2 linked regions of the Arabidopsis thaliana genome follow. The protein of the gene in region 2 interacts with the protein of the main gene of each other region in a pairwise test. Each region holds a gene or a part of one and is shown on either strand. Other genes may lie near its edges.

What was found.
Region 1: the proteins of AT1G11540 (region 2) and RHA1 interact in a protein complementation assay, tested with the Arabidopsis thaliana proteins (one large-scale study listed by BioGRID).

The regions. Positions count from the first base shown.
Region 1 is NC_003076.8:18,242,621-18,247,198, reverse strand, and holds RHA1 (Ras small GTP-binding family protein), read right to left. Parts: upstream 2,937-4,578; 5' UTR 2,705-2,936; coding exon of another isoform or gene 2,666-2,704; 5' UTR 2,531-2,665; coding exon 2,468-2,530; intron 2,350-2,467; coding exon 2,272-2,349; intron 2,176-2,271; coding exon 2,008-2,175; intron 1,877-2,007; coding exon 1,828-1,876; intron 1,721-1,827; coding exon 1,647-1,720; intron 1,432-1,646; coding exon 1,338-1,431; intron 1,240-1,337; coding exon 1,139-1,239; 3' UTR 749-1,138; downstream 1-748. UniProt on the Arabidopsis thaliana protein: Involved in the trafficking of soluble cargo proteins from the prevacuolar compartment to the central vacuole. Involved in vacuolar transport of storage proteins with EREX as effector. Regulates membrane trafficking to protein storage vacuoles (PSVs).
Region 2 is NC_003070.9:3,874,732-3,879,381, forward strand, and holds AT1G11540 (Sulfite exporter TauE/SafE family protein), read right to left. Parts: upstream 2,593-4,650; 5' UTR 2,492-2,592; coding exon 1,739-2,491; intron 1,535-1,738; coding exon 1,385-1,534; intron 1,290-1,384; coding exon 1,149-1,289; intron 1,054-1,148; coding exon 745-1,053; downstream 1-744. Other genes in the region: CXXS1 (C-terminal cysteine residue is changed to a serine 1), read left to right, coding at 141-263, 425-580; XTH8 (xyloglucan endotransglucosylase/hydrolase 8), read right to left, coding at 3,958-4,366.

The sequences.
Region 1 (4,578 bases), on a different chromosome or scaffold from region 2:
CTCTTTACCCAATTGAACTGTATCTCTTCAAATTTGTTCTTCCAAAATCTGACTTCATGGGTCCTTTAATATGCACCAAATTAAAGTTTTAGTCTTGTACCATTGATTAGTGCAACCAAGACTCTAACATCTCCGTCAAAGCAGACCTTTTTTGTATTAAATTAGTATTACGTTTTTTTGTCACAATTGTGTTTTATTCATAATACAGAGCCAATATGATAGGTCAATATTTCACAAATACTGAAACAAACAAGTCCAACTAAAGGAAAAGCTTGTTGTACACAACATATAAAACATGTTGCAAATGGGAAACAGGTTTGGAAGACACGTGGGAAGTGGAAGGGATGGGAGTCTCCGATCACCCACAGATCGTTGTGACGTCTTTGAGACGTTGGAAAGTTTCAATTCCGGCCAAAATTTGTTCAATCGGCAGATCTCAATCTTGGCCCAAAGATACAAAGGCGAAATTCATATTTTAGCTTTGACGAGAATATGACTCCACTTTATTCAAATTTGTGAATCTTCTTCTTCAAACAACAGCTTTTCAATCTTCAAGTTGCAGTTCATCAATTGGAAATCGAAAGCTTTGACAAGAATATCATTCCACTTAATTCATAGCCGGACGAAGATGCTATCGAAGTGAGACCAAAGTCATTGGAGAAGAACGCCGGCAAAATCTGAACGGAAAAACTTCTTTCTCTTTGAAAGATGAAAGAAGAGAAGGGAGAGAGAAGCAATGCCACTTTTTTTTTTCAAAGGTGTTTCTTTTATTGATATATACATTCATATTACAGCATTCCAACAATGGAAAAAACATTTTGGAGATTTAAGTAATACAAAAGATAATAAGCCTATAAATCTGAGCATTCACTTAAAACATAAACGAAAGATAAGCACATTTTTTTCGGACTAAGTTTTGTTTTCTAATTACAAAAGAGATATATATATATAAATCTCTCCAAATACAAATATCTTCAGATTTCACAAAGGCAGAATAAGTATCATCATGATATACACTGTTGTTGTTGTCAATGCAAGCAAAGTAAAGTAACAAAGACGAAGAAGAAGCAAACACATGAAAGTCCAGATGTTCTCTACTATGTGACTAACCAAATGAGATCTCTCTTCAGGTACGAATCTAAGCACAACACGATGAACTCACTGCCGTAGCCCCTGGCCCGTTTGGGAGAACCATTCCTGTCGGGTTTTCAGCTGGCTGTACACGTGGTAGCCTTTTCGCTGTAGCGGTTTGAACAAGAGAAACAAAAGTGAAAAAGGGATTTAATTGAAAACAACTAATTGTTGGAAATAGCTTTCTTGATGAAAGAATGACTCACCTATTTCGTAGAATATGTCTTTGACATTTGTTGCGGTCTTCGCTGAGGTTTCCATAAAGAAAAGGCTGTTCTCTTGAGCATATATCTCTGCCTCCTGTAAATAACAATATCAAGAACTACTTAACAACACAACTCAGTAATGAAAAAAACAAGTCGGTAGGTGATGTAATAGAAGATTTCACAGGCACCAGTCGAATCTCATCCCCGAGTGTTAGTTAACATTTTCTCCCGGTACTTTCGAATTTCATCAAGATTTTTGGCATTAGCAAAGCAAAATCAGACAGCAAAAGAAAGAAAGATTTAGTTTACCTCTGCAGACACCTTCCTTGCGTCTAATAAATCAGCTTTGTTTCCAGCAAGAGCCATCACCATATTAGGGTTACCTATTCACATGATCCACATTAACATATAATGATACCAAATAAACCACACCAACTATCAGAAAGTAGGAATCATAAACTAGCTAAAACCAAAGTCAGCTATTCCATACCTTGTGCCTGCAGTTCCTGAACCCATTTCTTCGCCCTCTCAAATGAGGCCTGTGGCAATAGAAAAACAAAAATTAAGCAAACCTAACTTTGCAGAGAGCCTTAAACTGCCACTAAAGTCCACTGATATTCTGTAAGTCAGTGCATTCGTGACTAAAAACACAAGGATCGTGAGTTCGTACTTGATTAGTAATGTCAAAGACAATAATAGCAGCAGCTGCACCCCTGTAGTACATTGGAGCCAAACTGTGGTATCGTTCCTGACCAGCTGTATCCCATATCTCAAACTTCACAGTCGCATCATTCACAGCCAATGTTTGAGAGAAAAAAGCTGCACCAATGGTTGATTCCTACAACAAAACGAGTATCAAAAAGTCAAGAATCAACCACAGGAACGAGAAGAAAACCTCTATCAAGATCACAGGAGGAAAATGCCACCAACCAACCTGAAATTCAACAAACTGATCTTTCACAAACCGTAGCACAAGACTTGATTTTCCAGCTCCAACATCTCCTAGTAATACCTGAAGCGCTTAACCAAGTTAACCACCAAAAACAAAATAAAGGGGGAAAAAAACAGATTTTTCTTCTGACTCGTTAGAACCCTAAAACAAAACTACCAGATCGAATAAAATCTATAACCTTTACTCCAAACCCTAGTTTTATACTGATAAACCATGCGATTTCTAATTCGATCACAATCATCCAATTTCAGATCAGAGAATTTGGTTGAAAATTCCCCAAATTGGAAACAGAACTAACTCATCGAAATCAACGATCTAATCAAAATTGACGATCATCCTTCAAAGGATAAGCAAAATCCAGAAGAATTAAACTGACCAATTTGGCGTTGATGTTCTTGTTTCCAGAGCTAGCCATGATTGACTGATTGATTGATCTGAAACAGTATTTGAAGCTCGAGAAACTTCTGCTAAAATAGAAACAAAATTGAAGATGGAACCACGCGTTGACAATCGTAAGACGGAGAAGAGAGACCGAAGAAGCTTCCGTCAACAAACAACCAAATTTCTCTCTTTGTATCTCTCTCTCTCTCTCTCTTGAAGACGAAAGCAAAAAAACAGAGAAGAAAGAAACAACTTTTTTATACGGCTCGTGAATATGACAAGAGGAGACTTATAACTAAAAAAACCACAAGATTATCGAAATTACGATAAATCCCTATATTTGTCTAAAATACTAAAAACGCCCCAAAAACAAAAATATGTTACACGCTGACCTTCATATATTGTAGACGATGTCTCTTAATAATAAAGTCGATAATTGTGTATAGTTTCGTTAGTATTTCATAGATTCTTTGTAAACCATGGTTAGTCTCCCTTTTTTCAACAAAATCCAAAAATTTTGGTGGTAGTGATGGGACAAAATGTACAACCATGTTCATTTCATAGTTAGCAATAACAACGAATAATAGCGATTACTATAAACTATAATGATTAAAAATAACGACTAAAACATGTTTTGTAATCTTTAGTCACAAGTTGTTAGTTATGTAGTCCTTGGTTCAAAAAAAATAACATTTTAAATTATGGATTAGTAGTAGTCAATTATTACTTATGATATTTGTCTTTATTAATAACAAATGAAATAAACACAAATATTGTCAATACAATAGAAGCATTGTGGCGAGTGTTTAGCCAAATCCTCAATAGTAGGTTGTTGTCTCACGCGTCAAAACTGGCCGTGTGATTTAATTTTGTCGGTCATGAAGTCGTATTGGACGGTTTAAGACGAGACTGTTTTACATGTTTTGGTACCTAACTCGAAGATACTATGAATCAAATTTCTTTGGTAGTCAAAAAGAAAAAAAACTTTCTGTGTAGTCGAACAAAATATCGCTATCTACACAAATGCTGAAATGCACGTTTTTCCATATGGGTTATGGGCTTTCATCAGTGGAGCCAATTATTTAGAATTGAAGACGAGAAATTAATTTTAACTTGTTTATTTTGAAGAACAAAATTGGATGACAAAACATTATGGATGTTCAGAATAGCTATAAGATGTTATTGCTAAGTACCATTTTTGAAGGATAGCTATAACATGTTAGTAAAAAAAACTTGTCTATAACTTATAATTATAGTGAAATGACGGAATAACTGAATAATTATTAGTGGAATGAATTGAACTGAATAAATTAGTTTAATGGATGAAAATATAGTTCTAGTGGATTAATCATGTTTTTTTCTAGGTATATTGACATGCTAGTAGCCTAGTAGTATACAGCCGAATTACTTTTCGAAAACGTGAAATCGAAAAAAATTTGATAAATATTTTGAATGTAAAAAAATAGCGTTTGAAAACGTGACTAAGCGATATACCATTCATCCTTATAGTAATTTTTTGCTTAGGGAGTTTTTTTTTAGAGGAATGTTCATTCTATTACATTTAACGTAAATGGTAAACTTTTGTCAAAATATTACAAATGTTTCATCCAATCATAATCTATCCATCTAGGCTCTAAATACACATCTATTTTCACGGGAACATCAAAAACGTTACACATGTATACTGTGTGTGTATGCATTAATTTGTGGTGTATAAACAAAGAAATTTTAACAGATCATGTTGTTTTGTCCCTTTGCACAACTGAAAGTCTAATACACCTCGTATTCCACGACGATTTGTTCCCAAGTTCCATCTTCCAACTCATTCTCTCTATATATAGTAAAGTCTCCACCTCAGGAATAATCATTAATCCAAAAGAAGAAAAGTAATTATAAAAAAAACATTAC
Region 2 (4,650 bases):
CAAATTGTGTTACTCTTTAAGATATGAAGTTAGTGAGAATGAACCATGAATATTAATGTTCAGGATTGTGAATGAATGGCTCTGTCTTGTTTGTTTATATGAATTACCAAGAACGGTTGTTCCTTTATGGTTTTTTGCAGATTGTGGCTCATTTCACTGCATTATGGTGTATTCCTTCTGTGTTTATGAACTCCTTCTTCGAAGAGCTTGCGTTTAACTATAAGGATGCTCTGTTTCTAATAGTTGATGTTGATGAAGTTAAGGTAAAACTACTTATGTGTCTCTCTACTTGATATGTCTTTCTACTTTGGCTTCTTTGTTGAAGAGAAGTGTTTAACCATCAAGAGTAAAAGATTTAAACAGTTGCTAAATTGGTAGATGATTAATGGTTTTTCTTTGTTTTTTACTATGTTGGATTGGTCAGGAAGTGGCAAGTCAACTAGAGGTAAAGGCGATGCCAACTTTCTTGTTCTTGAAGGATGGTAATGCGATGGACAAACTCGTGGGCGCAAACCCTGATGAGATTAAGAAACGGGTCGATGGTTTCGTTCAGTCCTCACGTGTTGTTCATATTGCTTAAGAGAGATTTATAGATACGAGCAGAATACTAAATAAAGTTTGTGTGAAGTGTAATTAGTTTGTAACTTTGGTATTTGGTTTGTGTGAAATATCAAGTGTAAGTGTAAATTTTTATAAAAGCAAGTTCTGTTATAAACAAGAACTGGATTTATTTAATTTTGGTTCTTAACAGGGTAATTTGAAACCCATGTAGCGACCAGAGACAAAATCATTCCAAACATTAAAAGCTCCATGGGTTGTCATCAGTACAGTGCTAAGTGCCATGACGATACCAACTGCAAACACAATGATCGAAGCCCTCCCATACTTGGCTATAACCTTCTTAACCACCATTAGTCCAACCAGTGATGCCACGAAACAGACCAGAGCAAATATCGCAGCGGTTCCAGCATGTTCCATGCCTAGTAGTAGGTACTGGATTGCAGACATTGATGAAGAAAACAAAACCATGAACGAACATGTAGCTGCAGTTACCTGTAGAGAGAGCACGATTAACTTAAGAATCCAATTGCTTGTTTTGGTAAAACTTTGGTTCTGATGCTGCTAGAGAACAAGACTCAAGAACGTACCTCTGGAGCAATACCGATTTGGAGAAGAAGAGGACTAATGAGCATTCCACCACCAATACCAAAGAGGCCACCCAAAACTCCAGCCAAGAGAGCCATTACAGGGAGCATCAACTTGTTTTGTCTTCCTCCAACTCCAGTCTCCTGTGGAGTAATTTCAGTTTCATATTCATCAAACCTGTTGACTTTTGACCAACAGAAAAGCTAATTTAATCAACAGCAAGTAGTATGTATTGGACCTGTTCAGAGTTTTGGTTACTATGCGATGTGTGGTTGCTTTGAACATTGTCACTGAAGTAAATGCAGAGAGTAAAGAAGATAGTGAGAGGTATTTGAAGCGAGGAGAGGAACCAGTAGAGAGCTCCACATGGCTTGATCGATATGATTCCCTGTGCAAATCCAAAGTATATCAACTTCTTACTTCTACATGCCATTAAGATTTCAATAATTTGGAAAGAATTATAACACTTCAAGGAACGTTCAAATAAGTGGAGGGAATGTGGAAACAGAGCAATGAGAGCATTGAGATAGAAAAATATTCAAATCAATCGACCAAAAATCATAAATACGCGTTTAGATACTTAAATTCATACCTGACCGTATTTGTTTCCGCGGAAAAGATTAATAGAGAAGAACAATAACCAAATGATCACTAAAACTCCAAGCTTCATCCATGGAAACCTAATCATCCCTCTCTGTCTCACATCTTCTCTTTCTTCACTCAGAAGCGGCGATCTCGCTACCTCGATGCCATCAACGTCTCTTGGACTCTTAATCTTCGCTCTTTCCGACTCCAAATTCCAGTAAGAAACTCCCTTTTTACAAGTCTTCATCGTTGACCAGGCGAGGAACACAGCGAAGAGAAACAACACAAGCCAATTTGGGAACATACGGTTACAGATCACACCAATACTTACTCCGAGAAGTAGACATGGCTGAATAGTAAGAGCTAAATCGAAGTCGATTAGGGTTTTGTCTCTTGATTTAGGGTTTCTCAGGAAAAGATTGCATCCCACGTTAGCGAAAGAGACGCCGGTTACCATGAACGCTGAGAAGCTTGAAGCTGTTTTCATTTCGAGACCGGCGATGATTGTCATTATCGAGAGGAAGAGTCCACCGCCGCCGATTCCTCCGGCGCTGGAGATAGAGGCGGCGAAGAACGAGAGAACGGCGGCGATTATGGTGGGGATGGAGACTTCAATAGTTGATTGGCTGAGGTCCTCCGAGAAATGGAGCCATTGGCTTGTTGTGCTGCGGATTTGACTCTGGTCTGCAAGGGCGGATGGATTGAAGATGGTGAAGATGGTGATTAGGGAGAGGAGAAGAGGGACTAAATTGATCGTCATTTTCTTTACTTAGGGGGTTGTTTGTAACCTTTTGAAAGTTTTGGGGTTTATTTTTGTTTGGAACGTTAGAAATTTTATGCTCATTTATTGTTTGGTTTATACTTATATATGAATCAATAAAGGGTTTAGTCAACTGCAATTCTAATACAAGGTATTTATTACGGAATTAATTAATTTAAGACAATTTGGTGAAATAAAAAACTAAAGATGACAAATGCAATTATTTTTCCTATGTTTTTGTAGATCTAGTAGTATTATTTTTATTGAAATATTTATTCAAAGGAGCTTCTTTCCCATATCCTCTAGATTTGTTTTTGTTTTAGGTACTTGTAAAAAGTGGTAATAGCATTATGTATTTATTAGCTGAAAAAATAAAGACTATGGCACCAAGTTATATTTGTCTTTCTTTTACATATCAATTTTTGGAAATTAATTAAGAGAAAGGGAGAAAAGTTTGAATATTTGCATACAAGTTTGGAAAGAAATACTTGTGCTATGTGTAAATGTCCTTTGACTATCAAGACGAGAAATGGGCTAGAAACATATATGGGAGACAAGTTCTAGAGGAAAAATGATGTTAGCAAGCTTAGTTGACATTGTGGTTCAAAGTAAGTTTACGAACATATTTAATTTATAGTGTGTAAGAAAACGTACTATTTATTTTATCCCACCAGTATGTCATATTATTATTTTTATACCCAAAAGTGAGGCAATCGTAATAAAATGCAAGAAATTCAAAATTGTCAATCAAAAATGAATTGTTTTTCAAATTAAAAATGCGATAAATAGTGTTCATCACTTGGCACGTAAAAGGTTGACTTTTAATATCGGAATGAATCCGGACATAACACATGTCCAACTTGGCATATTTAGCAAACTTGGACTATTTATTAGAAGATAGTGTTTATAGAAGAAATGTACATTAAAAAACGGTAAATCGCTAATCCTAGGCCTATCCTCACGATTGTGATGTAATGTAACCCACTTCCGTTGATTTCTTCAAAGAAATCAAAAGTTGTGGGTTCTTCTAGAGATGCTACTACTACAACGATCGATGGACGATTGTCATTGATGTTATCGAATGGTAAATCGGACAAAAGTTTCTGGATATGCTCTCTTATAATATCACAATCACAAATGCTATTTCTTTTCAATAAGGTATTTGGGCTTCATTAGTAGCTGTAGCTGAACCTTTTGTTTGTCACATGTCTTTACTCTTATGCTCATCCATGTTCGTTTATATTTTTGACCCACTGTTCTGTTCTGAGACCTTAAGTGTAAGAAGAATTCTCAAGTTAATATACATCTTAAAAAGCAGTTATGAAATATAGCCGACTAAATAAATAATTAATTAAATAAATAAACAGAGGATATAGTCCATAACAAAATAAGAAATGCCAAAAAAAAGAGAGTAAAATTATTACATAAACCATTTCCACTTTAATACACTCAAAACAAAATTGATTTTAAGCCCAAGGGCTAATGGAACACTCCCAAGGAAGAGTAGGGAACCTCTCACTGTCTTTGCAATAATCGTATACGACGAGATTACGCTGCACCCACGCATAATCCATCTTCTGTGTCTTGGACAAATGCCACGCGTCGTACTGATCCCACCAATTCTCTGTTGTGGTAGAGACGCATGCAGGGAATGGATCCTTCCAACGGCAGCCTTCGACGGCGAAGTCCTTGTAAGAAGAGACGAATGGAGCTTTTTTCCAGTCAGTCTTCTCCAGACCACCACGTGTAGCCCAATCGTCAGCGTTCCAAATGCTGGAGAACAAGTACATCGGCTTCTGGTTCGGGAAGAAGTCGTTGTTTGGTACCTTATCACTGTTCTTGTATACTCGAATTGGTACCCTATCCACGAAGAACCTGGTTTGGATTGGATTAAACCGGGTTATGCATTGTACCAATCGATAAAATTAGCTTTGATTGACCAATTCGGTTCGAGTTGGTCTAGTTTGAGTTCTTTAAAGTTTGGTTAAGATAGGCTTGCTTTGGTCGGTTTGAACTTTAAACCAGATTGGAATTTTTGTGTCGGTCGAAATTTGAATCTGCACCATTTAAGTTTTCTCAAAGCTAAACGTAAGAAAACAGGATTGAACCTATTGTGAAATTAATCTGTAAACTGAATTATGTTATTGTGAGTGGAATGT